Linked DNA regions of Oreochromis niloticus. Each later gene encodes a partner of the first gene's protein in a complex. Links are inferred from orthologs where the notes say so. Each region holds a gene or a part of one and is shown in the gene's direction. Other genes may lie near its edges.

The links. The genes of interacting proteins can lie anywhere in the genome.
Region 2: the proteins of pigt (region 1) and gpaa1 are in contact, whole or in part, in a cryo-EM structure (PDB 7W72), measured with the Homo sapiens proteins. The link is inferred for Oreochromis niloticus from reciprocal best matches to the Homo sapiens genes PIGT and GPAA1. Residues at the interface, in NP_057021.2 of Homo sapiens: Gln91, Gly92, Phe93, Arg95, Arg97, Tyr98, Ser108, Phe211, His212, Thr213, Ser214, Asp247, Phe249, Ile250, Arg340, Gln355, Tyr357, Val358, Ser359, Gly360, Tyr361, Gly362, Leu363, Leu371, Tyr373, Lys441, Asp459, Pro460, Asn461, His462; in NP_003792.1 of Homo sapiens: Arg97, Ser98, Val99, Gly100, Glu102, Tyr104, Arg134, Ala135, Pro136, Arg137, Ala138, Ala139, Ser140, Thr141, Glu142, Arg171, Gly172, Gln173, Ile174, Tyr199, His200, Asp201, Val202, Leu212, Gln213, Gly214, Arg215, Ala218, Arg311, Tyr312.
Region 3: the proteins of pigt (region 1) and pigu are in contact, whole or in part, in a cryo-EM structure (PDB 8IMX), measured with the Homo sapiens proteins. The link is inferred for Oreochromis niloticus from reciprocal best matches to the Homo sapiens genes PIGT and PIGU. Residues at the interface, in NP_057021.2 of Homo sapiens: Tyr361, Gly362, Leu363, Gln364, Lys365, Arg394, Leu395, Tyr396, Val397, His398, Tyr416, Pro418, Ala419, Gln420, Asp421, Arg422, Gln445, Glu447, Leu450, Leu451, Lys452, Trp453, Thr454, Pro518, Thr519, Pro520, Asp521, Phe522, Ser523, Met524; in NP_536724.1 of Homo sapiens: Glu30, Lys42, Arg43, Val45, Glu46, Ser49, Leu50, Leu53, Val55, Ser59, Gly60, Ala61, Val62, Pro265, Asp266, Leu267, Pro269, Leu273, Trp275, Tyr276, Phe277, Phe278, Ala279, Glu280, Met281, Phe282, Glu283, Phe289, Phe293, Asn296.

The regions. Positions count from the first base shown.
Region 1 is NC_031984.2:22,914,071-22,925,275, forward strand, and holds the start of pigt (GPI transamidase component PIG-T), read left to right. Parts: upstream 1-7,022; 5' UTR 7,023-7,092; coding exon 7,093-7,486; intron 7,487-7,992; coding exon 7,993-8,170; intron 8,171-9,045; coding exon 9,046-9,173; intron 9,174-10,083; coding exon 10,084-10,184; intron 10,185-10,310; coding exon 10,311-10,485; intron 10,486-10,581; coding exon 10,582-10,679; intron 10,680-10,905; coding exon 10,906-11,062; intron 11,063-11,205. Other genes in the region: phactr3a (phosphatase and actin regulator 3a), read right to left, coding at 6,039-6,141. UniProt on the Homo sapiens protein: Component of the glycosylphosphatidylinositol-anchor (GPI-anchor) transamidase (GPI-T) complex that catalyzes the formation of the linkage between a proprotein and a GPI-anchor and participates in GPI anchored protein biosynthesis.
Region 2 is NC_031982.2:18,036,679-18,047,362, reverse strand, and holds the start of gpaa1 (glycosylphosphatidylinositol anchor attachment 1 protein), read left to right. Parts: upstream 1-6,045; 5' UTR 6,046-6,170; intron 6,171-6,267; exon of another isoform or gene 6,268-6,419; intron 6,420-6,517; 5' UTR 6,518-6,564; coding exon 6,565-6,638; intron 6,639-6,730; coding exon 6,731-6,910; intron 6,911-7,049; coding exon 7,050-7,161; intron 7,162-7,276; coding exon 7,277-7,424; intron 7,425-7,515; coding exon 7,516-7,617; intron 7,618-7,705; coding exon 7,706-7,902; intron 7,903-8,010; coding exon 8,011-8,207; intron 8,208-8,313; coding exon 8,314-8,467; intron 8,468-8,579; coding exon 8,580-8,651; intron 8,652-8,753; coding exon 8,754-8,950; intron 8,951-9,576; coding exon 9,577-9,747; intron 9,748-9,835; coding exon 9,836-10,079; 3' UTR 10,080-10,684. Other genes in the region: prkacbb (protein kinase, cAMP-dependent, catalytic, beta b), read left to right, coding at 1,435-1,560; exosc4 (exosome complex component RRP41), read left to right, coding at 3,639-3,809, 4,614-4,820, 4,920-5,279. UniProt on the Homo sapiens protein: Component of the glycosylphosphatidylinositol-anchor (GPI-anchor) transamidase (GPI-T) complex that catalyzes the formation of the linkage between a proprotein and a GPI-anchor and participates in GPI anchored protein biosynthesis. Binds GPI-anchor.
Region 3 is NC_031970.2:5,251,356-5,261,578, forward strand, and holds the start of pigu (phosphatidylinositol glycan anchor biosynthesis class U protein), read left to right. Parts: upstream 1-5,584; 5' UTR 5,585-5,641; coding exon 5,642-5,771; intron 5,772-7,185; coding exon 7,186-7,250; intron 7,251-8,184; coding exon 8,185-8,244; intron 8,245-9,060; coding exon 9,061-9,123; intron 9,124-9,328; coding exon 9,329-9,438; intron 9,439-9,962; coding exon 9,963-10,063; intron 10,064-10,223. Other genes in the region: psmf1 (proteasome inhibitor PI31 subunit), read right to left, coding at 1,070-1,267, 1,632-1,714, 2,372-2,524, 3,745-3,873. UniProt on the Homo sapiens protein: Component of the glycosylphosphatidylinositol-anchor (GPI-anchor) transamidase (GPI-T) complex that catalyzes the formation of the linkage between a proprotein and a GPI-anchor and participates in GPI anchored protein biosynthesis.

The DNA.
Region 1 (11,205 bases):
TTTTTGCTGGTTTTTATCTTTGCTTTTTGCTGTCAGCTTTGTGTTCCACTAAGAGAAAGATCATGTGAGTGTCCTTGTTGGGATAGGGATTTGTGTTGAGTTACTTTCTTGAGTAATGACCCCAACACTGATGACAGCAAAGAGGGGAAATGTCTGACCACACAGCATGCATTAATTTGAACAGATGTAATGTCTTTGATATTTTGCTTAGAGATGGTGTTGACTCTCAAAGCCCAGCTAATGATATCCCAAAGAGAATCGATAGGTGACTCTGATAATGGAGTCGCAATCGCTAAATTCTTATGAATTTCCATCCTTAATGATACCCAATACTAAATGTTGCTGATAGTAATTCATGATAGTAAGAATCATTATTTTCATTTTAAAACTGGTGGAAAACATTTGAATATTTGAAGCCCGTGGTTTCTACCGTGGCTGTGCTGAGAGCCTGAGAATTTTCTCTGTGTTTAAGGCAGCAAAGCTTTTTTTTTTTTTCCCTCCATAGGGATTTATAGTGAAAGCTTTGTGAGGGCCACAGGTCTTCGGATTTCTGATGTACAAAGTTTCTTTCAACAGGTGGATGTTGCCACTGTAAGTAAAAAACAGCTCCCGACTTTGATGTTCCCACATCTGATCTTTACTTTATGCTCAGTGCAGTCTGGTTGGAATTTTCCCGTGGTTTTTATTTACACAAATTTGCTGCCATTAGATCCATGTCGGTTGAATTATTATTTGACAAAGATGGATCTCAAGAACCGCTATCATTCTGTAGATGTTTCTTAGAAAATCTAATGTCTCATTCTTGTCTCATTCTTTGAATTTCTGTCTGCGTGCTTTTTTCTCTATGAAGTGACTTGAATCTGGTGATTCTTGTTGATTTCTGAAGCAGTCCTTGTTACTGTTTATTAGTTTTCATTTTACTCAAGACAAATCCTTCCTTTTTTATCGTTTTTAAAACAAAATTGTGGGTGTTAACTTTTCTTTTAGAGCGGCGGGTTTTTTTGTACAGCCAAATGATGCTTGACCCTTTCCCCTGAGCTCATTTCACTTGTATTTGCCATGTTGCAGTTGCCTATGACTAACTTGTTCCGTAATTTATAGAGGATGAAAAAGCCAGTTACGCTCAAGTTCACACAAGTGCCCCTAGCAGAGTAGTTCATCACATTAACAGTGGACATGATCCATTAGGTTTGACAATCAGAAATGTCTGAACATTTTATACACAAAGGATAAGTTAGCCTTGAGGGCCTTCTGCCAGAAAACTCGAGAACTTGGCATGTTAGCATGTTACTGTGACAATAGTGGGAAAAGGTCTATTTTAACATGTTTCCCAAAGTGCAGCTGAATCAAACTGCATATATACGACATGTGGCCACTAAGGGGACATGCATCCCTGGCTCCTGGGTGAAAGTCTGACTCAATATTTATTGAGATTCACATTTTTCTGAATATGACAAATACCTTCTATGGCAACCAGAAGGCTCCTCTCAAGTTGACATTAGATGTACTTTTTCTCCTGGCCTCTGAAGGGACCTCTGTGCATCGTGGAGGGAAGAATGAATAGCTCTCCAGTGGCTACTACTAACAGGTGGCCTTGACTGACTCACAGTCCCTTAAGGCTCACCGTGATGAATGAGTCGTGACTTCAGCGTGAATTACAGCTTTGCTGGCTGAGTTTGATAAAGTTGCAGGTTCTAAACAAAGAGCAAATCTATATACAATATGTTCTCGTTGTCCATCCAGATCCCTTGAACTTGTTTATGTCAGCCATACGTGTGCATGTAGCTTGATAGATCCTCGGGTTTTACAGTTTTCAACTTGACCGCAGCTAAAAAACAAACAAATAAACAAACAAAATTCAAAAATGAGAGACCAATATTGAGCTGCATGTGCATGATGAAGTTTATGTCCTGTTTAAATTAAAAGTCTCCACAAAAAACCAACCACATGAATAAAACTGGAGGTCGTGTTTTGCATACTGGCGACCTTTCTAAGCACAGACAGAATGGTGTCATGGGCTAAACTGTAACAGAGGGATCGTTTTCTGTTTTCTCACTTGTATCCACTTCACGGTCACCGTCGCTCTCTCTTTTGTTTTAACCACTTAACACGTATGACCCACGGCAGAATACAACAGCTTCACACCCTTTTCTCTGCACTCTTGAGGATGTTGACAATCACTCGGAGGGGAAAAAAATAGACTCACAGGAAGACAGAATGTGGGGCTGTAATGGCATCACATACCGCTGAGCGCCTGCCTCTTAATCTGTCTTAAATGAAAACTGCAATTTCAAACAGTTTAATTTACAGTTAATTACTCGGAATAGAAAATAATTATAAAACTGCCCCAGAAACTGGTGGAGTTTCGCTCATCACAAAACCTGTAAACACGGGCAAGCCCAACAACTCGTCCCAACAACTTGATGAACCGCCAGTAGTTTGGATTGATAGCTAGATAGTTACTTTATGCAGTGTAATTATCTGTTTAGAGCCAGTGCCAGTGGAAGGCCACACCAAATGCTGTGCCACATCCAGCATTTCTTTATCTCCCTCTTCCACACCATCAAGATACTTGACGGCCTCATTACAGGTGGACGAAAAACATTCTTCAAATGTGCCGCCTGCCAGCACTGGGTTGTCTCCTTTTAAGAATGCCTTTTAAACTTCTAAGGAGTCCAGATTCTTGCATCTTTAACCCTTTCTTTACCTGAAAATGTCAAAGTTCCTTTTTTTTTAATTGAAGCAGGGCTATTTCTTCAGGTAGGGTCATATATATATATCTCTGTTCGTTATGTAATTACAGTTTCTTTATTCCGCTGCAACTCGCTGAAATCAGAAACTGGGTCTTAAACCATTGTTATGTAAGGAATTCCTGTGGCACTAATACCTTTTTGTTTACATTACTTTCAAACAATGTTGTGTTAATTGCGGGAACATTATATAAGACCTGCTGACTCATAATTTCCCATATTTGCTCACCAAGCCCTGAATATAAGAGGGATTATGTACGACACAGCGCTCGGGTTTGGGGTGAGTCATTGTCATGGCTCAATATCAGCTTCCGCAGGGTTTGACATATCGTCTTGTTCATTAGGCAGGTCCTCGCCTTTTACCTGAATTCTTCAGTTGTTCTTTTTTTTGATAGATCTGAGAGGATTATTCTTGTACCAGTAAGACCAGGAGAGAAAGATAAAACAAAACGAGAGAAAAAAACACAGATCAGCAGGTACTTATTGGATAAGTCGTCATGTGAGCGGAGACCAGAAGTGGTCTTGAGCAATGTGGTATATAGTGGGGAGGGGTTGCAAGTGAAAGTGATTTCACCATGAATTATTACAGTCTTTGGCCAAAGAATGGTGTTTAGTGAAGGAGCAGTTGGCCATCTTTGTAAATTGCTGCAACTAATTAATGAAATGTCAAATAAACAGAGAAATTATTTATAAGATTTAAAACATCTGAATATATTTTTTTTATTCTTAGAATTTACTGTGGATATATGAAGCGATTTCTTCATGTGGAGGATATTCTTCTTTTCTGTGTTTGTAACTTTGTGAACTGAATTTAACAGTCTGGAGATAACTACTTTGTCTTAGGGAAACTGTAATGTGCATTGTATTGTTTGTAATAAAAAAAGTAATAAAAAAGTGAAACTTAATCAATAATAGAAATAGTCTCTAACTGCAGATTTATGTGCACCATAAATCTGCTTGTGCTGATATTTGTGTGATTCAACTCTTCTCAAACTTCCAGCTTCTGTGCTGTTCATCTCCACTGTTTCTCCAGCTTTGCAGCTTTCTACAGGGGAAAAGAATTATTTTGAGGAACGAAGCCATAGGGATAACCCTGCTTGGACAAGCTCCCTGTCCGCAAAGCGTCAAGGTGTCCTCTCCACACCATTACCTTGGTCGACATTCTGCAATGACTAAGTGGAACTTTGAGTGAAAGTGACATTTTATTAGCAGGGGAATCTAAGGGCTCCTTGTCCAAATGAACTGATTAAACGTGTTTATACTGCTGCTCCTGTTGCTGGACTTATGTTCCTGTAACTTTGAATCATTCTTGTAAATCTGCAGCTCAAAGAGGTTGCCTCAATTTAGATAAACTCCCAACAGAGCAATGCAATGTCACTCTGTGCGCTTTATTGAAAGAAAGTAGGATTTGCATTGTTGGACACTTGCAATGAGACCTATCGACTTGCCCTTCTTTGAGAGGGCGAGTCTGTATTGTAGTATTACTGCAGCCGCATTCAAAAAGGAAACACTGCTCTGGTTTTCTGAGATGGTCAGCTGTAACTGTTGTCTCTATTGACTCTCCTCCCAGTATTGAGTAAGTGTATGAACACATTGTAAGCCTCTGCAGCTGCGAGATCTACTGTATTGGGAGGAGAAAAAAAAGGCAGTCTTTGCCAAAGGATTACTTAGTGCCCCAGACATTAGTGCAGTGGTGATCGCGCAGAGAAGGGGTGGGTAATGCTGTGTACTTTGGGCCACCAGACACCGGTATTGTCCTTGCTGTTACAACTGTATTTACTCCGTCTTTCATGTAGCATGCTCGTGTCTGAAACTGTGATGCAGTTGTGCATATTCCAGGGATGGAGGCTGACGTTCGGCGTTCCCTGACAGCTTTAGCTCTCATCACTGGCCTGGCTGATCCGCCAAACTGCTGCGTTGTTTATTCAGGTGTGTCAAAGACCCAGTGTGACATTATCACATTCACCTATGTGTGAATTAAATCATCCCTGGGAGGGTTGAATTCAGCAAGGCTCCATTATAAACGTGCTATGGCCAGCTGATGAGTGCAGGCAGGTGTGATTTTGGAAATGTGAAAAAGCAAGTCTCGTGAGTGATAAGTTGAAAGGTGAACTACTCTGCTTTTTTTTTCTGAATCATTCAGTCAAGCATTCATGTGCGTAAAACTCGCCATGTGTGGGTGTAAGCAATGACTCTTTCCAAACCCACACAGTATGACCATAAATAGTCTCACTTACGTAAAAAAAAAAAGAAAGAAAAGAAATCAGTGTATTTTAGGTGAATGCATAGGCTACTAGTGCTTCCAGCACAACAACAACCAAATTCACTTCCAGGAGCTCACCAGAGGAGAGCACGGCATGAGTGCTCCCTGGTGTTCTGTCATTAATGAAAGTTTAATTCATTATCCTCTTCCATAAAGCAGAAAGATGAGTAACATTAGATGACTAACCCACAGAGAAACAAACAAGGACTCCATATTGGAAAGATCACCTGAAGGATCAATAACTGGCCAGTCCGATTGTACCAGTACAAGGCTGTGATGATAAATTGGGTATATTTCCACCTATAGCCTATATCACGTGGATTGTCGGCTATTGATCACAGCAGTGATCAGTTCGGTATGGGGTGGGGATGTCAGTGCTGTCAATACAGGGACAGAGCTCTAGGCATAGGCCTTCAATAAGATAAGCATGTGCTTTTTTTCTTTTGTTTTTAATGCAACACGTCAAAACATGAATCCCTCCATGGATCTCTCTTAATAACAACGCTATAGCAGTGGATCAGACAGGAAACCAACATTCGTTAAGCTTGGATCATGGACCACACATGCATGCAGATTTTGTGATGCTAAATAGCCTGGGTTCACTATAAAGGGGCTGGGATAGCGTGGAAGGCAATAGATAGGCAATAGAGTAAAAGTTGCACACGGTAATATCATATTAAACGGCCAACACGCGGATTCCCAAATACTACTCGCATCCATATCAGCCACAAGGGCTACAAGCGTCTTCGTAAGGCGCAAATCTGGTGGGGAATGCAGCCATTCACAGACGCTGAGATGGCATTCGTTTTCAACATGCAGCTCCACGATTCAGCGTTACAGTCATATTCTACATCCAGTGTTGGGAGCATATGCGCTAATTGTGCCTTAGTGTTCTGACATCCCGCTAGGCAAACAAGGAGGTCTGCAACGCCAAAGAAGCGGCAACCTTAAAAAAATAAAATAAAATAAAAATAAAAACTCGCCTATGGAGCGGATGAATGTAGACAAAATAACGCCTATCTTACCTGTGCCGTGAGCCAACTCGATGCCCGGTTCGGTGAGTATGTTCGGGTCACTTTGAGATCTGCCTCGCTGCAGACAGCCGTCTAGTCCATCCGATGTAGCCATGGGGAGGCAGCGCAGGAATCCTAAATAAAATATTAAAAACCCAACCGGAGGCAGGCAAGGTCAGGAGGAAAGCAGCGAGCGAGAGTAGATATAATTCGCTCTGACAACAGCCGCTTTGAGCATCTAACAGGGAGCCATGGCTGAGCCGAAATTCCGTGTGTGTTTGTGTATGTGCGTGTGTGTGTGTGTGTGCGTGTGCGTGTGAGTCTGGGCTGTGTGCGCGATGATGTGTGGATGAGGGAGGGGTGATTTGCCCCCGATGATGCCAACGGGTTGATGATGCCCATCCCTGTCCAGCAACGCGACCAAATATTCAACAGAGCACAATGCTTATTCGCACACCGATAACCTAAATTTATGGCCTTTATTAATTATTAATGTAGCTTTTTTATGGGTTTTGGCAAGACACCAGTAGCCCTTCGCACCATTTATTCAGGGTGTATAAGGTTTAATATATTTGCAAGCAGCATTGGTAATGCTGTAAAATGAAAGATTAAGATGAGCAGACGTTTGACAGGCTAAATTAATTGAGAATTTTCAGGCCTCTAATTGGTTGATTGGTTACAATTCACAAATTGACATATGACATATTATGTGCATTTACTATAGTCTACATTTATGTATGGATTCATTTATTGTCTTCATATGGATATAATATAATTTATGTAATCTACATATAAAATATAATTTGTCATACCGCTTCCATACCGCCTTCACATGAAACTAATAGTTTCTAAAATGTATTATTTTTTTAATTTTAGAATTTGCTTAAAATAAAACAGAAACATATTCCATGTTAGCATGTATTTATAATTTTTTTAAAGAAAATATTTAGGCTTAAAACAAAGCAGCCTCGTGCCAGTGCCAAGGATGACTCCATATGGAAGCAGCTCATTGGCTGGTTCTACTCATGACGCGTTAACGCGGAAGTCAACCACCGCCTCGAGAAAAATGGCTGCTCACAGGTGCAGCTGCTCGTCTTGGCTGTTTATTCTTTTTAGTTTGTCCGTGTTTGTTGTCGCAGACATTCATGAAACGACGCCAGTTAATGACCACCACGGTGGGGCTGACCATAATGCACAAACAGCGGAACAAACGGCTGACCAGCCCGCGGTGGAGGGGAGACGGTGGGAAGCAACCGAGGTTAAAGAAGCCGCTACGGTTGATGCTGCAGCCGACACGCAGGGCACTTCTGCCCCTGAAACAGTGGTACCTTCGTCGGTACCACAGCCTAAAGACGACTTCCAAGAAGAGCTGGTCATCAGACCTCTGCACTCTGGAGATATTTATGCCAGCTTCCAGTTCCGCACCCTGTGGGACACAGACTTCATGAGAGAAAACAAAGGTAAGCTAACTGCTAGCAGGGAGATAACACTCTGTTAGACACGAATAAGAAAATACACACATGTAAATGTTTTATCTTCTTATAGAAGTAACTTATGAATATACTTGAGTCTGTCGAACAGCGGACAGAAAAGCTCTATAATGTATAAAATGACAAACATTTAAATGCTTCGAAATGAGGGTTCATATTTTGCTTCTCGATGCTCCTATAATCTGTCAGATCGAAACATTAAAAAGATTACCACGTGATATGGCATCTGTATTTTCCGTCAGTTGACCTTCTCTTATAAATTACCACATTTTTGTTGATTTATTGATGTCCACTTCCTGTTAAAATCTGCGTCTGTTCCTGTTTAGTTGGTTTCAGGAGTGTTTATTCATTATTAGCAATATTATACGAGTTTAATACACCCCACATTAATTAAATAACATTTTCTTCCTCCTGTTCTCAAAATTACAACAATGTTTGCTCTTTCTAACTCTAAACCACGTTGTTACATTTCTCAGTGTCCCACTACCGGCTCTTTCCCAAGTCTCTGGGCCAGGTCATCTCCAAATTCTCGGTCAGAGAGCTGCACATCTCTTTCACACAAGGTTACTGGAGGACCATGCAGTGGGGGCAACCCTTTATACCATCGCCACCTGGAGCTGAGCTCTGGGTCTGGTTCCAAGACTCAGTGACAGAGTGAGTACAGCAGAGATGAAATGAATGTGTGGATTAATAACGGGGCAAAAAAACAAACAAACCCCAGACCGGTACTTATATGGTGTTTTTCTACTCTGAGCATTTAAAGCCCCTTCTTACTATGAGCCTCATTCACATATTCACAAACACATTCATAAACCTGCTTTTGTAAACATTTTTCCTGAACCTAGTATTTTTAACCTAACATGCACACATGACACTCCAATGGATGCATCAATGGCAACTGGGGGTTCAGTATGTGGACCAAGGATACTTTGACATGCAGACTAGACCAGTAGAGGATTGAACCACCAACCTACCAGTTTTGCTCATCCATAACCGTCCTTGCTGTTTTTTGTTTTTGTGTTTTTTCCTTCAGTTCTTATAATGACAGTGATATTTCTCAAGCTTATGCCGAACTAGCAGACAGTTCAGGTAGTTTTTTTGCTGCTAAATGAGACCAGCAGTCTCAGTAAAACCGGTCATAAATGTTGCATTAAGAGGGATATAATCTGTTATCAGTCTGGGATCGAATTACATGCAATCTGTTTCAGATGGTACATCAATTAAATGTGAATTTAATTGAATTTAATGCAAGTTTGCTCAGCTAACATCATCTCAGGATGGTGGTGCATGTGATGAACCCTCTTGTTCGTTATATTCCCAGAGTATCAATATTTGGTGACCCTGTATTGATACAATATCACTATACAAAGTATCGTAATGGTTTGCTGTATTGATTTTAAACATAAAACTGCCAGAAATTCTACTCCCACAAGTTTTGGCTACAGTTTGTTTTTTATGTAGTTGCTGCCTAACCTACCTTTGCTAAATCATTTTAACATTTCCACATGCCTTTTTTCTGCCTTTCCCAGTGTCGATGCTACATGGAAGGAGCTAACCAATGTTTTGTCAGGCATCTTCTGTGCATCACTGAACTTCATTGACTCCACCAACACTGTTCAGCCCAGTGCCTCCTTCAAACCCCTGGGAATAGGCAACGGTACAGTCAGTCTCCTTTTTGCATTTAGAGTATCATCTGTAGTAATGAACCTCTGCAAAACCTAATTGTGTCATCAGCCACCATTGAACTGTCTAATATCACATTATTATACAGAATTACTGCAAGAGAAAATCCTCTTGCAGTAATCCTCTTGTCACCCTGTTCCATCACTGGTCAGTTATGATTCAAACAACTTTAGCAGCATCAGCTGCCACAAAGTGCTTCAGATTACTGGAGATCAGTCTGTCATTTTTATCTTGTGTCTCTCAGAGTCACAAACACTGTGGTAGCTTGAATGTTAACCTCACTGATGAGTATTCAAAGTGCTCTCAGAGGAATTCTGGAAGGTTGGCAACCTCTAGGAAGATTCTCATTTGTTCCAAACGACCATGTGTAGCTAATTTCTTTCAATATTGAGTCTCAGAGATTTAGTGCAGTAACCTTCTTCCTCATCTAACCTAGACATGTGCTTTGTTTTTGTTTTGTTTTTTAAACTGTTGTTTCTAGTGGTTTTACACCTCATGCTACTGCAAATTGTCGGCTTTACAGGTGATTTGATTGCCAGGCTTGTCAGGTGTGCTGCACCCTGTTAGAAACTTGGTTTAGTTGTGTGGTTTTTTTTGTTTGTTTGTTTTTTTGTTGTTTTTTTGTTTGGGAATAAGTAAACAGATGAACACTTTTTACACAGGCCCTGTTTGCATTAAGGAAACCTTTTGCAATAAAATGCGTGCTTTACCTGTATTCAGGATGCCTCTTTTTTAATATATATATTAGATTTTATTTGAGCATGTGATAGTCTTATTCTGAGGTGCGTGTTAGACAGTTGAATACCCATTACAGCACTGCAGATGCCCCAGGACTCACTGTACTGCATATGCAATATTTGTGTGTGTGTGTGTGTGTGTTAAAGTGACAGACCACAGCTTCCTTCGCTATGCCACCCTCCCACGAGAAATTGTTTGCACAGAGAATTTGACACCCTGGAAGAAACTCTTGCCATGTGGATCCAAGGTAAATGTCTCTCTCTCGCTCTCTCTCCCTCCCTTTATATGTGCATTTTTCTTCCTAAAAAAACACGGGACATCAATGCCATGTGTTAGCGTACTAAGTTTTCTCCTCACTATATTTTCCAAACAGGCTGGTCTCGCTGTCCTTTTGAAGTCAGAGAAACTCTTCCACAGCAGTTTTCATTCCCAGGCAGTGCACATCAGGTCCGTGTGTCAGGACTGGCAGTGCAAAACCACATCCTGGGAGCTGAGACAGACGGTGAATTCAGTCTTTGACCTGCACAACTCTGGACAGGCCAAACGAGGTAAGTGAAAGCACGTTTCTTTTGTTCTCTGTCCCATATCTGGGTTTTGGTAACATTCCCCTGGTTTTTGTTAATTCAAGCTGTCTGTTCCCTCAGAGTGGTCTTTGTTCAAGATGTTCTCTCGGACCCTGACAGAAGCTTGTCCGTTGGCCTCCTCCAGTAAACTATATATCGACATCACAGACAACCCTCAGGTTTGCTTTTCCTTTAATATAAAATATGCAAATCTAAATCATTAGATAATTCAAACCTTAGAATACAAAACATCGAATTGTGACAGCTATATGAACATGGAGGTGTTGCTGATCTAGTGGATTATCTGTTGATAAATGGCACTACTCATATGTATAGATAATGTCAAATATATTATTGAAGCTCTGCAAGAGTTATGATTGGAACAAACCTGTTTTTATTTTGCAGGGGGAGCAGTTTGAGCTCAGCCCAGCCACTTCCCTGCTGAGCCAGGCAGTGGTGCTGGGAGACAGACGGACCTTCTCTGTGTACGATCTGACCCAAGAAACCACCTTTGGCTCTGTGCGCTCCCTCAACCTGCTGATTCGATGGAAGTCCAATGAGGGTGAGCCAGAAGAGTAGAGACTGTATAATGTATAAAGCTGTTTATGATAGTCAGAATATTGTCTTGAAGAATGCATGATGAAACAAGAACGAGATAATAAAATGCGCACACTTCACAAATTTTTAAGCCATTTTTTTTATCGT
Region 2 (10,684 bases), on another chromosome or scaffold:
AGTGCCCGACAACTCTGAGATCATTTGCCATTTCCCCTGCAACGTTTTGCATACAGGGCAGGTATTACCACTTTGGAAAAATAATTGCGCTGGGGATAACGGCTCTTTTGTCCCCGTATGTTGATCATTTTCCAGAAGCCTGCATTACTTACCCTGTTTTTTTTTTTTTTTAACTCACATATCTTTGGTTAAATTAATGTGGCTACTTTTGTGATTTCAGTGTGTCTTTGTGAGCCAGACGTATATTCATACGGAGGCTTATTTTTACAAACGTCTGAGTTGATGTTGGAAAATTCTTGCTAGCAGCCATTGCGTTGTTTTTCCTTAGCCTTCATGCATTAATTATCCTGCAGTTTGTGATTTGTTTTCAATAAGGTACTTGTGCTGCTTTGCAGCACAGACACAATATGACTTGGCTGACGTTGCTTGCCCTACATCCAAAGTATTTCCAAACTATGAATGATGATCCGCTTCTAGGGACAAGCTCCACGTCGTGCTGCGCCAGACATTTAAATTTTGTTTCGATGGTCTGTTATCTGGAGTATATCACCCCAGTCAAGTGCTTTCAGGAAATGTGATGCTGAACAGTTATGGGAAGCCAAACTCTCATATGATTGAGATTAAAATTTGAGTCATTGTGCAGCCCTAGTTAAAATGTAACTATACAAAATCCTGTTAAATTAGAGGGGACAAAGATGAAAGTACAAGCGATACCAGAGGTACCCATTAACCTGTAACATATTTGATACATACAGTTTTTCATCATCATTGTGATTCTGCTGTTTTGTTTTTTCCCCCCCATAAAACCTAAATAAATTGGACAATACATTTTTAAACGATAAATTTCAAAAATTGTCAGAAGATTCGATGAACAAATTATCTGAATGATTTCATGGTTAGGGCTTTAAAGGTTTAACTCTTTGTTATGCATCAGCTGGTTTGTAAAGTGTATGTCTGATTATTTATGAAGGCACAAGTGTCTGTATCTGTGGTGTGGAAGCTCTTCAGATCAGATGCTTTGAGGATGATTTTTAAGATGGGATTAAGATGTCTAATGAAAGGATTCATGCTTTTGTGCTTTGTTCTACTCAGGATGTGAATAAAGTAGTTTTAGGAATGAAAAGCAGACTTGAGAGGGAAATTTAGATGTGTGTGCTCTCGTATCTGCACACCTGGTGAATTGTTACACAAACTGCAGTTGCCAGTTTTTGTTAAGTTATTAAAAACTGCCTCCATTGTAGAGGAAGAGGCTTCACCAGCTATCTGACAAGCACATCGTTTAAGTTGACAGCATTTGGGGTTTGCCAGGACAACAAATGCTGTCTAGATTCACTGTAATACAATACAGTCTTGCCTGCTCTACTGACAAGCCAGTGTAGGCATAAATATAATATAATCCCACCCAGTAAAACAAGTCTTTCTGTTCTTCTGCAGGTTGAAGCTCCATTCATACCAAAGTGTAGAGGCCCGGGGGACACGAGCAACTTCGACGACTACGAGGAGGAGGAAATCCGCGTTTCTTTAACGGAAAAATGCGCGAAGGAGTTTGCAGAGTTTTAGGACGTGAGAACATGGATATATCAGGGAAAATAAGGGGATCTTTGCACTCTTCTGAAGACTTGGGATGGAGCAGAGACCATCTTTTTCAGATCTACTACATAGTCCCTTCATTCCACAAGGCTGAATGAGGTCGCCATGATCCTTGGGTGCCGATAACCTGTCACCGTCACGTACACCTGCATATTAAAGCAGACACATCACTTTTCTCTTTCTTTTTGTTGTTTTTTTTGTACTTATCCTTTTTTTTTTTTTTACTTTGAAGCAGTTAGTCTTGGATGTTGTTATCCCCTATAAAAATGTGATATTTTTCAATTTATGAGGAAAAACTGACAGTGGCCAATAATGATACACACATTGTGGGTTGTAGGGATTCCCCTCCAGTTGTCAGCAATGTACATTAAGAGTGTGCATCACATTTAGATTTTGTCTTAGGTGCAAATCTGTCCAGACATTTGACAACTTTGACTGTTTAAAGGATGACCAAATGGGAAAACGCTAGGTGACACAAGAAGAGAGGTCCTTTCCATTCTTTGCTTTAAGCCTTAGAGAGCCAAATCCTTAGATGAGCCCCCCTCACCCCCATGTTCACTGTCTCCTTTGTATCGTGACCCAGGCACAGCAAGCCATGCAGAAAAGGACAAACCTTGTTACATTAGTAAAAATGTAAAATCCACTTGTTTGTTTGATCTGTTTGGGTCCGCTAGTTACATGTAAAGTTTGATATGTTACAATATTTTGTCGCTGTGTCAAACATTATAATCATATTGTCCCCATCGGGCCTGCTTATAAAGACCCTCATTACATGTCTGTGGAACAACGTGACCTCGGTAAAAGGGAGTAAAGAGAAATCCTTTTAGGGTTTTAACTTTTATGTAAAGCTGAGAGGGTCAGTGTGAATAGTGTTGCAGCTCCGCGCCTCAACATTTAGTGAATCTTTAAAAAAAAAAAAAGTATAATGTACTCAATGAAAGATGTTTTAAAATCTTTGAACAGGAATGCATAAAAGAAAGGATATTTACCATATTCTCCCTGTTATCGCCCCAAAGAGATTTCTTTATTTCATTCTTGTCAAAGAATGTAGATTTGCAACTTATAGGTATGCATATTTGAAAGCTTGATTTCAGTTTTCCTCACAATACACTGGCTAAAATGAAGACTGCTCCTTTGTATCACATGTAACCCTGTTATTGTTAAGCTCATTACATCATACGTATATGCATTGTTTCATATATGTTTTTATTTATACACATTAGAGATGCTAATAAATTTTATTTTTAAAAGTGTTGGAATTTTCTTGCACCCTTTCTTCCATCGTGGATTGCGGATCCTACTGTGTGATCTGGGTAGTATCAAAAGTCCAGAGGCCTCAAGAGAAGATATTTTATTTTAGACGTTTTAAGCAAGTTTGTATCACAGTGAGCACTATGGATTCCTGATTTGGCATCTTGGTATGAACAGCTTAATTACACATAACTTGAATACAGGTGAATACATGTTAGCTTTTTAGAAGTGGGCTGGGGCTTTTTCCATGTGACTAAGGGGTAAAAGACTTGGTGCTACCTGGACAGATCAGTAGTCTGTTAAAGAGCTCACACAAAGACGCATTCAGCCATTACACCTTTGGTCAATTTAAAATCACAAGTTAACCAATGCACGTGAGGAAGCTGGAGAGAAACCACACAAGCATTATGGAAACGTGAACTCATCAGAGAAAGGCCCTGTCTAGCTGGTGGTTTAAACCCAGGACCTTGCTGTGAGCCAGCAGTGCTAACCACTATATTTCTGTATTTGTTGTAACTGACAATCCATCACTACATATTTGGACCACAACACTGTATATAAAAGATGACCATAGCCACCAGTTACGTGAAACCAGAGTATTAAACACAATGAAAACGGTTTATTGTGGATACTAACTCTGCTTCTCATGGTTTCCGCTCTGGCTGTTTTTCTTTTCCGGAAGTTGTCGTTCGGTTTGGACCTATGGTGTTGCCGTAGGTACTCGGCGTATGGGTAATGTAGTGTAGCAGGAGACACGTGGGACGCTGCGTTTCCGTTCATTCGAAGTTTACGGAAACATGGCGGGCCTGGAACTGCTGTCTGACCAAGGATACCGTTTAGATGGAAGAAAAGCCACCGAGCTGCGGAAGCTTCAGGCCCGTATGGGTGTGTTCACTCAGGCCGACGGCTCTGCGTATTTAGAGCAGGGGAACACCAAAGCTCTGGCCGTGGTGTACGGTCCCCACGAAGTAAGTGCCGCGGATGGAGGGGAGGGTTAGTGGGGATAAACAATAAAATGCATTTGATTATGGTCATCACACCAGTGACATAAAGTCGCCACATTTTGATATAATATAGTGTAAATACCTGAGAAAGGGGAATTTTCAGCGAGATCTTTTGCTTGTAGCAGTACTTGCACAGTGTAGTATCATTATTAAATTATTGCTCAAAGCAGACCAGATGTGTAGGAAGTTTTATTTAAGGCTCAACAGCATGAAGTATTAATTGAAATCAAAGTTATGATAACATATACATTCTCTAGACACTTGATTGGGTACACCTTGGCCCATGGTATGAATTCAACAACACTTTTCCACTTGAGTTTTTTAGTCCATATTGAGATAATAGCATCACACAGTGGCTGCTGATTTGTTGGTTGCACATCCATAATATTAATCTCCTGTTATGCCTTTGGAATGAGAAATGGTGATTCTAGAGGTCATTTGAGAATATTCAAGAAACCTGTTTGAGGTGATTTGAGGTGTGTGATGTGGGGTGTTATCCTGCTGGAAGCAAACATCACAAGATGTGGTCATAAAGGGATGGACACAGTCAGCAACAATAATCAGGTTGACTGTGTGCAAATGATACGTTTATATTCCAAGTATATTTGCGTTAACAAGCCGTCGAACAAGTGCACCAAAAAAAGTGTCCAGTTGGTGTATATTGCAGCATTTCTTTATGTTCAGTGCAGTTAACATTGTCCCAGTGTTTAAGCACAGTAACGTCCAGTCCAAGCTGTACATCAGTTCTTACGTGTCGTTTTCCTCCAGATGCGAGGTTCCCGAAGTCGGACTCTTCATGATCGAGCAGTTATCAACTGTCAGTATAGCATGGCCACGTTCAGCACAGCGGAGAGGAAGAGACGACCACACGGAGACCGCAAATCCACTGAGATGAGCCTCCACCTGAAGCAGACGTTTGAGGCTGCTGTGATGACCCAGCTGTACCCTCGCTCTCAAATTGATATCTATGTCAAGGTTCGTGTTGGACTGACACTTCATCTGGTGAGAGGTATTATAGGTATTATAGATTTCTTTGTAATTGTTCACAAACACGTTTCCATCGTCTTCCAACAGATTCTGCAGTCAGACGGAGGGAATTACAGCGTGTGCGTGAATGCTGCCACACTGGCAGTGATTGACGCTGGCATCCCTATGCGGGACTATGTGTGTGCCTGCACTGTAGGGTTTGTGGATGAGACCCCCCTCGCTGACCTGTGCTATGCGGAGGAAAGTGGAGGCGTGAGCTCATTGGCTTTAGCGCTTCTGCCCCGAGGTGGACAGATCGCTCTGCTGCAGATGGATGCCAGACTGCATCAGGATCACCTCGAGACTCTGATTGAAGCTGCAATGACTGCTTGTAAAGGTGTGAGCAAAGTGCTGGATGAGGTGGTGAGGCAGCATCTTCAAGAAGCCTCGGTGCTCACTGGAGAGTGACGTGGGACGGCAGCAGGAACATGTGGACTCCGAGTGCAGCTTGAAAGTGTTATTGGACTTTAAATATTTACAAATGATATTAACGTTTAATTCATTTATATCAGTCACTGAATACTGTTGTATGTATGTGATAAATGTAATAATAAATATTTTAGTCATGCATCGTTTCCTTATTGGTTGTTTATTTGTGAGTGAGGTATTCAAACTTGTCTACTTATACGACGTCTGCTCCTGCAGCTTCACCTCTCCACCTGCCTCCCAGCCATTGAAACATGTATCCTCTCTTGTTTCTACTGACCTTCTCTCCAGGACACACCTCCATCACCCCCGGTTATCTTCCCCACCTGCTCCCTACTCTCTATGATGGAAGCTTGTTTGTCCAACTCAAAATTTTTGAGATTTTAACCCTTTCTGGTTACTAAGTATCTTGAAATGTTGACTTACTTCTGAGCTCACACATTTTGAGATATATATTTCCACTGGCAGAAACAAGCTACCACATTGATGTTCTACATTTTATAGCAATAAATAATAATTTAAAAAACTATGTTTTAAACTAAATACACGAGTAAAGTCACTCTGTATTAAGGTAAGCTAAATGAAAACTACGAGCTTTAAGCATTTAAGAAAAATTTTAAGGGAAGTTTTAAACATGTACCTTATAACGTATAACATGTACCTAATAACGATGAAACGGGTTATTCATCCAGTATTTTCAATATTTCTTTGTGTCGTTTTATTTTGTTTTACTTTATTTTATTTTAACTTGCTTGAGCGGAAGTCGGTGCGCCGCGGTAATGTTCCCGCAGGAACAAGGAAATCGAAAACGTCCAGCAGCGGCTTCTGCGATAAAGCCCCACCTCTGAAGGTGGATGTGACCAGTGGACACAGGTGGGTTTTTTATATATATTCTGCAAAATAATAAAAAAATTTGTTAAAGCTCTTTAAAAAAAAAAAAAAAAAAAAAGCTTTTTCAGCGTATAGCGGGTTTAAACATTTACCACTCAGCGAAACCGTCCTGCTTGCTTGCTAGCTCGCTGCACCAGGCTAACCTCAGCTGTCAGTAGATGCTCTGACAATGGATCCCAGGAAGCAATTTCTCAGCTCGATATAAAGGCGTGATTACCGCAGCGTCGAATGGTCATAAATGTCTTCATATCGATGTGTATTCCTCAGCGGTAGTTATCCTTACGGATTGTTAACAAATCATATTTAAATTGTCTGTGTGTTTCCTTCAGGATCCGCCAGTAAATCCAGGCTTTGGAGTAACGTTACAGCTGATAATATGGGGCTGCTATCTGACCCAAACAGAAGACGGGCTTTGATCAGTATGCTGACTCGCCTCAATGCCCCAATCTGGTGAGTTTTAGTCAGTGTGAAACGTCTGCCTACTTTCGTTTAGCTCTCTCTCTCTCTCTCTCTCTATTAATATTACTTCTGTCTTGTTTTAGTGTGGTCTGCTACTTTGCCGGTGTGGCTTGGTTCATGGGTTTGGCCTTTGAGCCGTTCACTCTGCGGACATACATGTCAGAGAATGCCATGGGCTCTACCATGGTGGAGGAGCGCTTTCCAGCTGGGGAGAGAGCGTTGGCCACCGGGAGGGAGTTTGCAGCCCATAAGAAGAAAGTTGGGTAAGGTTTACTATAGACTTGTGCTTGTGGGTCTTTATGCAGTTTGTTCCTAGTTTTTTGTTGTTATTTGAAACTCAAGTCTCGGTAGAAGTCTGATCGTTTTTACAGTAATCTTGTTTGACTATTTGCGTCTCTGCAGTGGGATGCCAGTGGACTGGCTCGTGAAGAATATGCAGGATCGAGGACTGGAAGTGTTTACTCAGAGCTTCTCTCGCACACTACCCTTCCCTGATGAAAACAAAGAGAGATATGTGAGTTTATCGTGGAAAACTGATTTTGTTCTCAGCAAGAGACAGACTGGTTTTTGCACAATCTTTATGAATATTTAATGACTTATCCTTTGGTGCTGTCTCCTCTTCTTGGCAGATTGTAAAAGGCACAAATGTATATGGTATCCTTCGAGCTCCTAGAGCTCCACGGACTGAAGCCCTGGTGCTGAGTGCTCCCTGCAGCCCAGGTGATAGCAACAACCAGGCTGTGGGACTGCTTCTCGGCTTGGCTCAGTACTTCAGAAGTGAGTACAGCACCCATTCCCCTCTCCTTCTCCACAATTTGAATGATGCTGTTTGCTTTTCTTGGTTTAATGAATGTTGTTTTTTTAATAGATCAGATTTACTGGGCCAAGGACATCATCTTCCTTGTCAATGAGCATGATTTGATTGGTATGCAGGCCTGGTTGGAGGGCTACCATCACACCAACACTACAGGTGATCAAACACGTGTATCTAGTTACAGTAAAATAAAGGAATGAGATGTATAACTAAGTTAACTTTACTGTTGAAATGGTTCATCCAGGTATGTCGTGGTCTCCATTACAAGGCCGTGGTGGATCAATCCAGGCAGCACTGTCCCTGGAGCTTAGCAGTGATGTCATCACCAGTTTGGACCTGGTACTGGAAGGTCTCAATGGCCAGTTACCCAACCTGGACTTAGCAAACCTCTTCTATGCCTTCTGTCAGAAGATAGGAGTTCTTTGCACCATTCAGGGCAAGGTAAAGGCTTATAAACAGACGCACTCTGCTCTGTGTGTGGTTAGCAGAGTGCTAAGACTATGTGTTGAAGAGTCGTTATGTAGCTTTTCTTTGTGGATGTGTTTATAGCTGCAAAGGAACGATTGGGATAGCGTGTCGGGGTACAGCCACGCAGTCCAGACCATGATGCTAATGGTGATGAAGCAGGCCAGTGGGCGGCCCTGGGGAGACCACGGCCTGTTTCTGCGCTACCACATCGAAGCTGCAACCATCAAGGGTGTCAACAGCTTCCGGCAGTACAAGACTGACGCCACTACCATCGGCAGGTCAGAGATGGTGTATACTGCTTTTGTTTATATTTAAGGCTTTTATGTTCTGCTTGTAATTTGACACTTTTATGATCTTTTTTTTGTCTAAATGAATGTCCTGCAGGCTGCTGGAAGGAATGTATCGTAAGCTGAATAACCTCCTGGAGCGCCTGCACCAGTCCTACTTCTTCTACCTCATGCCGTCACTCTCTCACTTTGTCTCTATTGGATACTACATGCCAGCCTTTGGCCTGCTCGCCGTTATTCTGCTGCTGCGTGTATCCTGAAATAAAAATGAAATGAAATGTATAAAAGAAACCTAATAACAGCTGAGAGCAGGGTGGGAACACATTCAACCTTCAGAGTTTTTTTTCCTTGACTGTAATACAGGCGTTAGACTTGTGGGTTCAACTCAATACTCCACCATCGACAACAGAGGATGGAGTTGCTGACATTGATCAGGTTAGACACACGTGCTACGACAAACTCATCAAAACTGAACCTGAATTTTGCTGGCTTAAGTCTGGTTAATCAACACTTTAATAAAAATCTGCTTCCTCCCAGCAGTCCAGTCCAGGAGTGCTGTCGGTGTTGACTCCTCTGGTGATCAGCCACCTGACAGGAGTTGCTCTGTACGCGCTGCCGATCCGTTTTCAGGAGACTGCTGTTGAACATTTTCCTGTGTCTGAGACCGAGGCTGTGGTCCTGACAGCAATTGCTATTTACACAGCAGGCCTGGCTTTGCCACATAACACACACAGGTACTACATAATGTGTGTGTGTGCGTGTGTGTGAATTGATTTTTCTTGTAAGCCTTCATTGGTAATTTTATTAGATACACCTGTCCTACTGCTTGTTAACACAAATATTTAATCAATCAATCAGATGATAGTAAGAAGTGCTTTGTCTGAGTATTTCACAAACTGCCCACACAACCATCTCTAGGGTTTACAGAGAATGGTCAGAAAAAGAGAGAAGAATATCCAGTGAGCGGCAGTTCCTGACGTCAGAGTAGAGTGACTCGAGGAGGGCGAAACATTAATGTACAAACTATGAAACTGAGTTTTCAGTATGAGCACAAATTCAAATCATTTAGGGTTCTCACACTGAGTTATGTATGCATCAGTGCACACACTTAAGCGACCAGAAACCGCAGAAAGTCAGTAGCACTTGGTAACTTTAAGTTAAAAAAGGTGACGGCGACTTAAAATTTGTGGGGCCCGAATGAGTCGATCAACTAAAGTGAGCTTCCTGTGTGGATTACCCCTCAAAGTTCAGTACATAAACTTAAATTGTAAACATGTCAAAACATTAATTTTAGTTGATTATGAGACAATGGCTAACTTGACGCGGGAGATTAAGTGAGCTGTTGTGTTGTTTGTTGCAGACTGCTGTCGGGGGAGGGCACGGAGCAGGGCTGGAGAGTGCTGAAGCTCATCGCGGTGCTGTATCTGGCTGTGCTGCTGGGCTGCACTGCCCTCATCAACTTCTCCTTAGGCTTCATTCTGGCTCTCACCCTGGTGCCGTTAGCTGCCTTTGTCACACCCCACGTTCCAAAGTAAACACCCGCACAGACACTTTGGCCTTCATAGCCCCCTATCACCATACAGAACTAAAACTGTGTTCTGCTCTTTTTCTCTCTCCAGGGTTTTGTCAGCGTTCATCTTGGTCATCCTCAGCCCAGCTTGCACGCTCCTGTTTTCAGTCTTTTTCTTTCAAGAGCTGCAAGAAATGCCTGTCAGCTTCCAAGATGGGTGGTTGCTGTATCTATCAGTCATTTCACAGGGGATCCTGGACCACTCCCTGTATGGATCTCTAGTCTACCCACTCATAGCCTTGCTGGTTTATCCATGCTGGCTGCTTTTCTGGAACATCCTCTTCTGGAAGTAGCCCACAGGTCCACTGAAGAGTCTCGTGAGTGCGACCGCCCTCCGAAATGTTCTCAGGTTTGTCATTGCTGGGTGAATGTGAAGAATTATCAGTTGAATCCACTGGAGAGGAAAAAACAATGTACTGTAGTTGCCTTGGAAAAGACGCAGCAACTCCAACTCCATGTTTGGACATTTGGTTATTACGTTTACTCGAAGTATTTCAGTCTTTTAAACATCAGAGGCATTTCTGAGTCACCAAAACTATTTGAAAGTGAGCAAAATGAACTGATTTCTACTTAACATCAGTCTCAGAATTATACAGTATAGGTGCATGAAGGGGATGAGTTTTTCCCAATAACTATAAAAGTCACGGTTGGGTTGATTTGTGTAAAAAGAGATTTTGATTAAAGACTTTTTTGGGGATTTCTTCTAAAGGTTTTTTTGGGGGGGATACATAAAGAATAATACTGTGCTCTCTCTCTCTCTTTTTTTTTTAATCATACAGGATGCTAAACATTGACTCGGTACCAACATATAAAACAGTGATATAATGGTAGAAACCATTTTGGCCGTCTGCCTCTTTTTAAAATGTTTGTCTGCATTGGAACAAGCCATCACTACATC
Region 3 (10,223 bases), on another chromosome or scaffold:
TGTCAGCTCAACGTCTGTTACTTTTTCTCCCTGCTGTAAATATTGTATAGAGGATACTACAAAGACAAAGACTCTCACACACACACACACACACACACACACACACACACACACACACACACTTCAGAGTATATTACACTCACATTCCCTCTCATTCCCTGGACATTTACCAGAACGTTAAACTAAGTCTTTCCTCTAAAATTAAATAATTACTTTATGGGAACTTACTTTGTGTCCCCAGAAGGGAATGTGTAAACAGATTTAGGTCCCTGAACATGAGTAATACACACACACACACACACACACACACACACACACACACACACACACACACTGCCTGAGCTCTGTCCTCATTTACCAACAGATGCTCTGTCTAGACTTATTACAAGCCACAATCTCAGCACATCCAGAGGTGTGTGTGTGTGTGTGTGTGTATCAAATGCCAAAATGTCAGTCATAAATATTAATAACACGAGGCTCTGATGCCATGAAAATGTTAAGGATTACAACTTGTTGGTTGTTCATTGATTTTCTGTCATGTAGTTCTTTCCAAGTCTGCAAAGTGCAAACAAATCTAAAAACGTTCAAGGTTAAACTGGACTTTTAGACTGTTCTAATTTATTAAGTGAGTGGGCCATGCACATTAATGCACACAGAACAGGAAAATCTGAACAGTCCAGACTGCCAATGAATAGACTAAACTATATTCAGTCTGAGTAACACTAGAAATACCACAAATATAAGGTTAAAACTTCATGAATGTACATAAGATTAATTACTTGATCCTATGCTGGTGGGAGAACCTCATTAATGAGCACAAGTAGGTGGATATAGAAAAATTAGCAAGTAAGGCATTCTTTATTATCTCTATTTGACTCGTAGTTTCAGGCAGTATCCTCTTTTTTCCACAAATGCAAAAGAGAGAGAAACCAGGAAAATTACAAATATGTAACTGCGTGTCACACGTGACAATATTTGCCTCTAAAATGTACATATTTAATGATAAGTTTATGAATAAATCTGAGTTTTGTGGTAAAGTTTTGCATGCACAGTTTATATCATCACCAACCAGTGAGGGTGTGTCCCCTGGCGAGGATTCCTGCTGGGAATGCGGAGGGGGTCACTGTCCTCTCCTCTTCTTCTCTGCTCCTCTTCTTCCTCATCCCGCCGACTCTTCCTCTCTGCTCTCTGTCCTGTCGGTCTGTCCTGGGGGGGCAGCAGCTGAGTCTTCACCTTCTCCGACAAACTGTCTGCATCTTTGAACACACTGCAGAGAAGAGAGATGACTTTATTTATTTTCCAGCTCTATATTTTTATTTTCTGACTACCAGAGTAGCTCAGCATGATTCACAATGCAAAATAATCTTTAGTTATCAAACAAACTGCCCTTCAAGGCCAAACTCCCTTTCAGACAACCTTTTTATAATAGGCTTTCTCCAACAAATAAAAGATTTGAACAACAAGTCGGTGGGGTCAATCTGAGACAACCGTATAAGGCAGGCTGAGGACAAGGCATATTTTATTATTATTTATACAGGATCCAAAATAGTAACACAACAATTAAAATAATCATAACAACATAAGTCAATAGAATAAAAGCTTAATAAAGTAGAGCAGCTCAATAAAATAACCTGTCAAATGTGTGTAGCTGGTCAGTGTTCACGTGGTCGTTGATGTTCACCGTTAAGTCTGACACCTGCTGCGTGCTGGAGTTCTACACACACACACACACACACACACACACACACACACACACACGATCCATTAAAAGGATAGATTAACATGTAGAATAATATCTCAACAAACCAGCAAATAGTAAACTCAACCTAAATCATATTTTCTTAGTTTACACAACTGTGTGTCAGATCTTTGCATAGATCTACATTTCTCCAGTCTTACGGTGCAGTAATACGACCTGTATATGAATGACAAAAACTAAAACTAGCACTGAACTAAACACTAAACTAATCTAAACATTTTAATCGATACAAACTCGACTGGACCGAAAAAAAAATACAAATTTAAAAGTAAAGTGTTTGCGACCTCACCCCTGGCTGCAGTGATGTCTGCTCTGAACAGTAAGATTCAAATTTAGAAAATCAGACTTGATCCCTTTTAAGGCTTTTCATGGATCCCTACATCAGGACTGAAATGCAGGATAAACTGCACAGTCTATGTCAGTTCTCCAATGAAAAAATAATCCAGAGGAAAAATTCTTCTTCTTAAGGGGAGTTATGCAAAGTTTCAGGTTTCTGTTGTCATTAATAGAGAGAAAACCCCCACACACTACCAACATTTTTAAGGCACTATTTTAAATTGCCATTATCTAGAAAACTAATGAGACCAGTCCTACAAATGTTTATGTGCTTACCATCAGATTGAAGATCAAGGTGGAATCAACAGTGATTGCCTTGAGGAGCATTTGGGTGTCACTGTTGTTGGCTTTGTATCGCAGACTGTATAGCTCTTTGTTGTTACTCCAGTCAGCAGGCAGCAGCTCGGACTTCTTATCACTGCTGCGGGCCTGGAGGAAGAAGGTCACAGACGCCGTGAAGACAGATAAAAACCTAAAAGCAGCAGCAGAAACCTGCTTTTTCTTTTCACAATATTTGTTATCAGTATTTGGCCAGTTCACTGCAAATAACAAAACAATACTTAAAATATACAGCAAGAAATATGTGCTATTATTAGATATGACATATACTAATCTCATCACAAAGGTAAGATTGTTGTAAAAAATTGTAAATAAACTGCAGATTCTTGTGTTGCTGCAGTAAAACAGACAAAAACTAGCTAACATAAACAAGATCAACTCTATAATTAAAATGTGACAAAACAAAATTGGTCAATAACGTAAAAATTACACATAATAAAATAAAAAACTAATGTGGAAAAAGTAAATATAACAACAATAATGATACACATAAAAATCCAGTAGAGTGAGTTCATTTTTTAGGTGCATAACAATTTGTCATTATTTATATCTAAAGAAAAAAAAACACCTTTTCACCAAATCATCATGTTCAAAATAAAGAAAAATGTTTCATTTTATAAGTGGGTCACTTACTCTTCCTGTTTACTAAATGGCAGGTGTCATTCCAGAGTGATTTTATATAAAACAATCACAGAGAGATGCCGAACGCTTCCCTTTTCACGTTAAATCCCATTATAAATGCTTCATTTAAAAAAAAAAAAAAAATACTACTGATTACCTGTTGATTTCTGTAAAATGAACATGGGGAGAGGATGGAGGATAGCAAGGCTGCACACTAACACGAATCTGTGTCATAAACTCCCGTGGTGTTTCAGGATGACTGCCCCCAGTGGGTTAGCCAGCTAAAGATGACATGACAGTTTTGGTAAATTGTCGCTCTTAAACCAGATGCCGTCAAACTGAATATCAGCCATGACAGCTGGATTAAAGAAACCGAAAACGCATTTTTCACACTTTTAAATTCTTCGCGTTAACGTCGGCTTCACACAGGAGGTGATGCTTGTTTATGAAGCTATAGCTAATCTACGTTGAATATTACATACAGAACTCCACTGCAAAAACCGACATTTTAAGCATTTACTGGACATTACGGTCCGAAAAACATCGAAAACCACATATAGAGAATCTTTTTGCTAATATTTAATTTGTATTTCTCAATTTGGCGTAAGAATGATGAAAAAAGAAAATATTATCTTCTCCATTATGTGGGATAATTTAACACAAGATTTAGCTAAAATAAGCGAACTCACCTCGTCTCCTGAGCCGATGCACCTGTATCCGTTCTTTACCAGCTCCCAGTGAACAAAACACACAACGGCGTCCTGCGGGCAGGTTATCTTACCTGCGACACAGGTGTACAACACCTCCAAGCCAGCCATGTTTTCCTTCAATCTGCCAACATCGGTACAGTTTCAGGCAAAAGAAATGAAAACGAAAGTCTGGCCAGCAGCTTCACTGAGTCAAGCTGCAGTTCGGTGCCAAGCAACAGGAACCATTTCCGCTTCGCGGCTTTTCAGTTTAAAAGCACCAGAGAGCTGACCAAACGGTACCTATCTGCAAATAAAAATATCCAGTGATATTATGTGAGGTATTAACTTTTTTCATTGCTCTTTATTTCTATTTCATTTATTATTTCTAGCTTCAATTACGTTTCATTTTGATTCGCTCTCAGATTAGGTTTTCTTATTCAGTTTAGTTTTTCTTAGTTTCTGGGTTAGTTTGACTATAATGTGGGGGTATTTGTAAGAGGGAAATTTAGCCGAAGTAATAAAATACACACTCAACACTTCATGTCATGTAGACATGAAGTGTTGCGTTTCTCAGCCTTACAAAACATGTGCACCAATGCACCAAACTAAAATATTTTTCTCGTACCTGGGTTTATTTTTTATTTTGTTTGGGTTAACTGTAATAATGTTGAAATCTTCCCTACTTTAATTCATTACATCTTAATAGAGCCTATACCTCTGTATAACTGTTAATCTAAAGTAGGATTTCTCAAACCCGCGGGCCGGGGGCCACTTGTGACCCACGTCACATCTACTTTGGGCCCATATGTTGACATGAAGAATTATAATGCAATTTGGCCCTTGAACGTATTTATTTATATATATTTATATATTTAAAAATGATTTAATATGAAGGCAACATGAACAGAGAGTACAAACATGTTGAGGGATTGGTTTTGTTGGTTTAGTGAGAGAGTTATTTAACAATTTTCACTAGCAGTCAAAAACCAATGTGTACACTGATGTCTGCATTTTTATTTTGTCAAATATGAACAAAATTATGGCAGAAGTGCTGCCATGTGTCTGGCCAGAAAGAGAGTACCAATTTGTTTATTTGGTAGTTCAATGAAAGGCTTCAGTTAATGAAGAGTGAGGGAAAAAATACATTCACGTTTGCAGTTTTGCCTTTTTATACAATATTTGAAATAAAAAAAACCAAACGAACAAATTAACACTACATTTTCTAAGATATTTGTGGGTGTTTTCTTGTTTGTTAGTTTTTGTACCACTTGAAAACTAAAGTGGCCCTCGGATGAGATGACAGTGCCAGCAGTGGCCCACAGCTCATTTAAGTTTGAGATCTTTGACCCCAAAATGTCAGTTGATGAATTTTCAGATGGCATTTTTATGCTTGCTATTGTATTCTTTGTGTGAAGCTATTTTAATGAACCCTAACCTGATCAGAAAAAAGTAAATTTATGTTTTTTAACAGAGTCAATTTTGTTTTTGAAATAACCGCACGGTTAGCGGAAGCGTAGTGGCTCACTGTGTACGGCTTTTTGTTTTGATCCAACACAAATAGTCTCCGGATGAAAACAAGTATAGGACAACAATTGTTCCGCTTTGTGTGTTTGTCCTGTCTGTCAGAGTGTGTTTCACATGTAAAATGAATCCTCAGCTGACATCAAGCAAACATGTAAAAAGATAACACATGCACCCATTATCTGTATGTCTATTTTTTTGATATTCATATTTCTATATAAATTTTTCTTTAATTTCCAGCATTTGCTTTAGAGTACATTTATTTATTTATTTATTTATTTATCTGGACTTGTGGTTCCTTCTCTCCTTCCTACACATTTGGAGACTTCATTTCCCGTCGTGCACCTCGCAGGGCGGACAGCGCTTCCTTGTCAAGATGGCGGCTCCCTTGACTCTGCTGTTGATTGTGGCCGTTACGATCCGTGCCGCTCTGTTCCGGTCCAGTTTGGCGGAGCTGATTGCAGAGAGGGTGGAGGTGGTGTCGCCGATAACCGCCTGGAAGAGAGGTAAGCGCGGGTCCAGCGGCGGTTTGGAGCCGCTGCGGTCGGTTCACGTCCGGGTCCCCTCACCTCCCTCTCATCGGTGCTGTTATCCGGTAACTCGGTCAAACCGGTTCAGCTGCGAAAATCAGCAGCTGAGATTCAAATTCAGAAAGCTTGATGATGTTTTACTGACATTAAGCTAACAGCGGATACTTTTTACTTTCTGTAGGGGAAGATTTAAACAAGTGTTTCTTTGTTATTTCCAATGAATGGAGCTCAGTGGTTGTTTCTCTGTCAAACATCCATCGACCACTAGTAGTAATGACGACCAGAGTCTCTGCCAGCGGCTGAACAAAGATCTGCACAGTCTATAGTATTTGTGGACCCCTTTAAATCCTCCTGTGATCCACATTAGTTTCCACGGGGTCATTTGCGCATAGTAACGTAGACGTTACACCTGTAAAACATCTGGCTGACGTGTGTATAATGTTACATCAGCAAGTGTTTAAAAATTCATTTTCACAGCTACAGCCAATTTAAAATCACCACTAACAGGCACATGGCCCCTGCCTTCATGACCTTCTTGCTGTGAGGTGATAGCGCTAACAGTTGCACCACTGTGCAGACACCCTAATTTGGACAAAAGTATACAAACAGGCTAAAATATATATATACACCCCCATGAATAATTGGTTAATTGACCCTTAGCAACTGACTACCTCTTCTGTAATCGTTGAGTTATGAGGGCTCAAAGTGATGGAGAAAATGCACATACCCCCACCCCATGTGCTTCGATGGCCAGTAAATATCTGAAAATAATTAATGTACAAAAAAAATCAACTGGTTCACAGTGGGAGGCACTCGCTGATTTGACTTTATTATTTGACATATTTATATCAGCTTTCCATTAGTTACCACAGACAAAGGTTTTGTTTTAGATGAATTTGTGAAATGTTAGTGGACAGTGTTTAAGTTTCCATTTAGCATATGATGACACAGTACCTGACAGGAGCCAGAGGTGCAGGTTTGCAGACAATCTGAGCTTTTTCTGTAAAACAGAAAACATGACCAACATGCTGTGAGACTCACACAGAAACATTTCATGCATTTTTCATTAGGCAGTTGTAACTGGAAGCTGTGGAACTGCTACTTTCAAGAGGAGGCATTCAAAGATAACAGCCCAGTGCTGGTAAAAAATAATAAAAGTTGGAGATTTTAACATCATTTATGATTTTGGCTTCTAATGATAGTGGAATAGAGTGAAAATGGTTTAAAATGTAGCTTCACTCTCGAAATGTCAGACCAAATTCACCAAGTTGAAGTTCCATAAATGCAAAAATAAACATTTTCCATAGTCACCAAAATAATTGTGGTTGTGATTTTTATTGTAATCAAGCAGTCTTAATAAAACTGTTTCTCTGTTGCTGTTTCTCTGCAGTTGTTGAAGGTTTGGCTCTGCTTGATTTGGGAGTTTCACCATATTCTGGAGATGTTTTCCATGAGGTGAATCCCTCTCTCTCACTCACACACACACACACACACACACCTATTACAAAGTGTGTGTGAACATTGAAGGTTATATTTGTTACATGAACCTGAAAATAATCAGAAAATTAGAAGGAGATGGTCTGGAAAACAAAGACGAAACATTCCAGATTCTGCTCATTTCGTGGTGAACCATCACAGTGGAAGGGAACTTTAACTTCTTTCTACAAAACGTCAGATTTCCATTGAAGCAGCATTCAGGTAACACCCAGGTGAAAACTTTGCTTACTGAGCAGCATTGTAATAGTGAGAACTGCATCATCAGAACAAAGTGAAAGTGTCAGAGTCAGATCTTCTGAGGGAGGAGGGGCTTCCTCAGAGTCGGGCCATGGCTGGACCGAAGATTTCTAAGAGGGGAGGGCACGATACTCTAAAACATCCAGAGCGAGATCGGGGTGCCCAAAAGTCAACGCATCAAACTTTGTTCACAGAGATAGAAAATTAACTTCAACAAACACAAAATGTATTAAATAAAGAACACAAGAGTCAATCAGCAAAAGAAGGCTGCCCGTTGGTAGACTCGGAGGATGAGTAGCATCTGTAAACCACCTCTCGAATGTCACATTTCACCAACAAGGTGCCGGTGCTCAGTCTAAAACTAGTTTCATGCATTTCCACCAAAAAGACCTTTAGCTGTTTCTCAGAAAGCACTGAAGTTGCTCTGCTCGGGTGCCGTGTTGGTGGAAAACGGACAATAAATGTCTTATTTAATTATTTAGACATGCTCGGATGTTTCAGTTGCTCCTGGTTCTTGATTTTTCCATTACATGCTTGGACCTCATAGATGGTGTATTTCTACAACTGAGATCTGAGTCAGCAGAAAATCCACAAATGAGGCATGTTGATGTTTAGATGTTCATGTTGAATTCTCCTTCTGCTCTGATCCTTTCAGACTCCTCTCATCATCTACATGTTTCACTTTTTGGTGGACTACGCAGAGATCACATTTATGGTGAGTCTGAATAAAAACATCATTTTGAAGCATTTTGTAGTGGAGGCAGTCTCATTACTGGAGAGGGACGGCTCAGGTGGAGCGGACTTGTGCAGAGGATGGATAGGGAATATGCGTGTTGGACAAGAGCTGCCAGGCCACAGAGAAGATTCATAGATGTAGTGAAGGAGGATGTTAGGGATCTGGTGACATGGAGGCAGATGATTGTGACAACCCCTAAAGAAGAAGGTGGTTAAAATCTGAAATGTGATCAAATTGATTGTAAAGCCTCCCACAAACCTTGTTGAGGCAGATGTTGATGAGAGCTGGTTCTCCGAGTACAACCCAGAACCTGAACGGCAGGTTTCAGTCTCAGTCCACAGTTTTGAAGTCCAAAGGCATCAGCAGAGACACCAGGAGCGTGCTTGTCCTCTCATGTTCGATGCCCACAGGATTATACAGGAATTCATAAACCAGGATTCATCGTTAATGCAAAGGTTTAATGTGATTCCCAGTAACATATGAGAGACCAGATTCAGCCCTGAATAGAGTGTCTCCAGCTTCATGGCCACACTAATACGATCTTCACTTATCATGAACCGTGTTCACCACATTAACATTCTCGCTACTTTCCATAAAATAGAGATTTTTGGGTGGAGGGCACAGTGGAGGACACCCAGCTCTTATCACAGAGGACCAGGTACAGGGTCAGAACAGATTTCCCTCAGAGCTTCTTAAAAATAGCAGACATCAGAGAAGGAGTGAGACCACCTTGAAGTGGAAATGCAGCAAATGTTAAATCAGGCATATCTCATTTTACCGTTTCTGTCTCGTCAGCTGGCCGACGTGATCACCGCTGTGGCTCTTTACATGGCAGTGAAGGAGTACAACAAACAAGTGGTAAGAACACATCACAATACACAGTTTAAATACTTAAAAATGTGTAGAGAAGTAGGGTTGGCCTAAATTCCCAAACCCCGTCTCTAATAATGAACAGGAGTAACTTCAGCTCACGTATTCTGTGTGAGACCTTTGTGTTTGGGGCTTTGTGTGTCTGCATCTCTTTGTTTTTGATATATTTGACTTGTCTTTGATGCTGTTTCAGTTCAGAAAGCAGAAGTTTGCTTTGGAGGCCGACCGCTACCCCATGGACTCTCTGGAGCTCATCAGAAGCCCCAAAGAAATGTACTACATCCCTCTGAAAGTAGCCATGTTGTAAGTACCATCACTCATACTGCATTCTCTCCTGCCAGATTCAGCTTCTTAAATTTCATCTTCTTACCCTGAATAACACAAAGGTGTCACCACTCAGGCTCTTCCAGCTGCTTAGTTTATTATTTATTCTTGAGGCGACTGTTGTTGTGATTTGATGCTGTATAAATAAAATTGAACTGAATTCTGGGTCTAAAATGAATTCATATAGAATTAATGACCATATTATAAAATAATGATCATTTCCGGTTGATAAGAATTACGTTTTAGCTTCTCAACGTCAACATTCACAACTTTAAAACTTTAAAATAGCTGTGAAGAAAAGCTTCATCCAGACGACTGGTAAAATTTCACTATCACTTTGTGGAGGAGAACGCGTCGCCTTCTCCGTGACGCTCTGAGGTGAAGTTTGAGAAAATCCAGAGAAAACGGACAACACACTGTATCTCCTGAAAATTCTCCTTTTTGTTTTCAGTTTGTTTTATTTACTTATTTAATTACTAATAATTGTTCTTCTTTTCTCACAGTTACCTGCTGAACCCGTTCACCATCTTATCCTGTGTCGCCAAGTCGACCTGTGGCCTGAACAACGCCGTCCTCGCCCTCTTCTTCCTCTCCACAATAAAAGGTACGCTTCAGATCTTCGTCTCATATTTGTGTCCGAGCAGGAAGTGACTGTTTCCCGTTGATCTCATTCGTTGGCTCTGCTGAAGCTTTTTTTTAATTACATCAGAGGAACATGAATCACTTTGTTTTTATTTAAATGTCGTTTTTAACAAGTTTGCTGT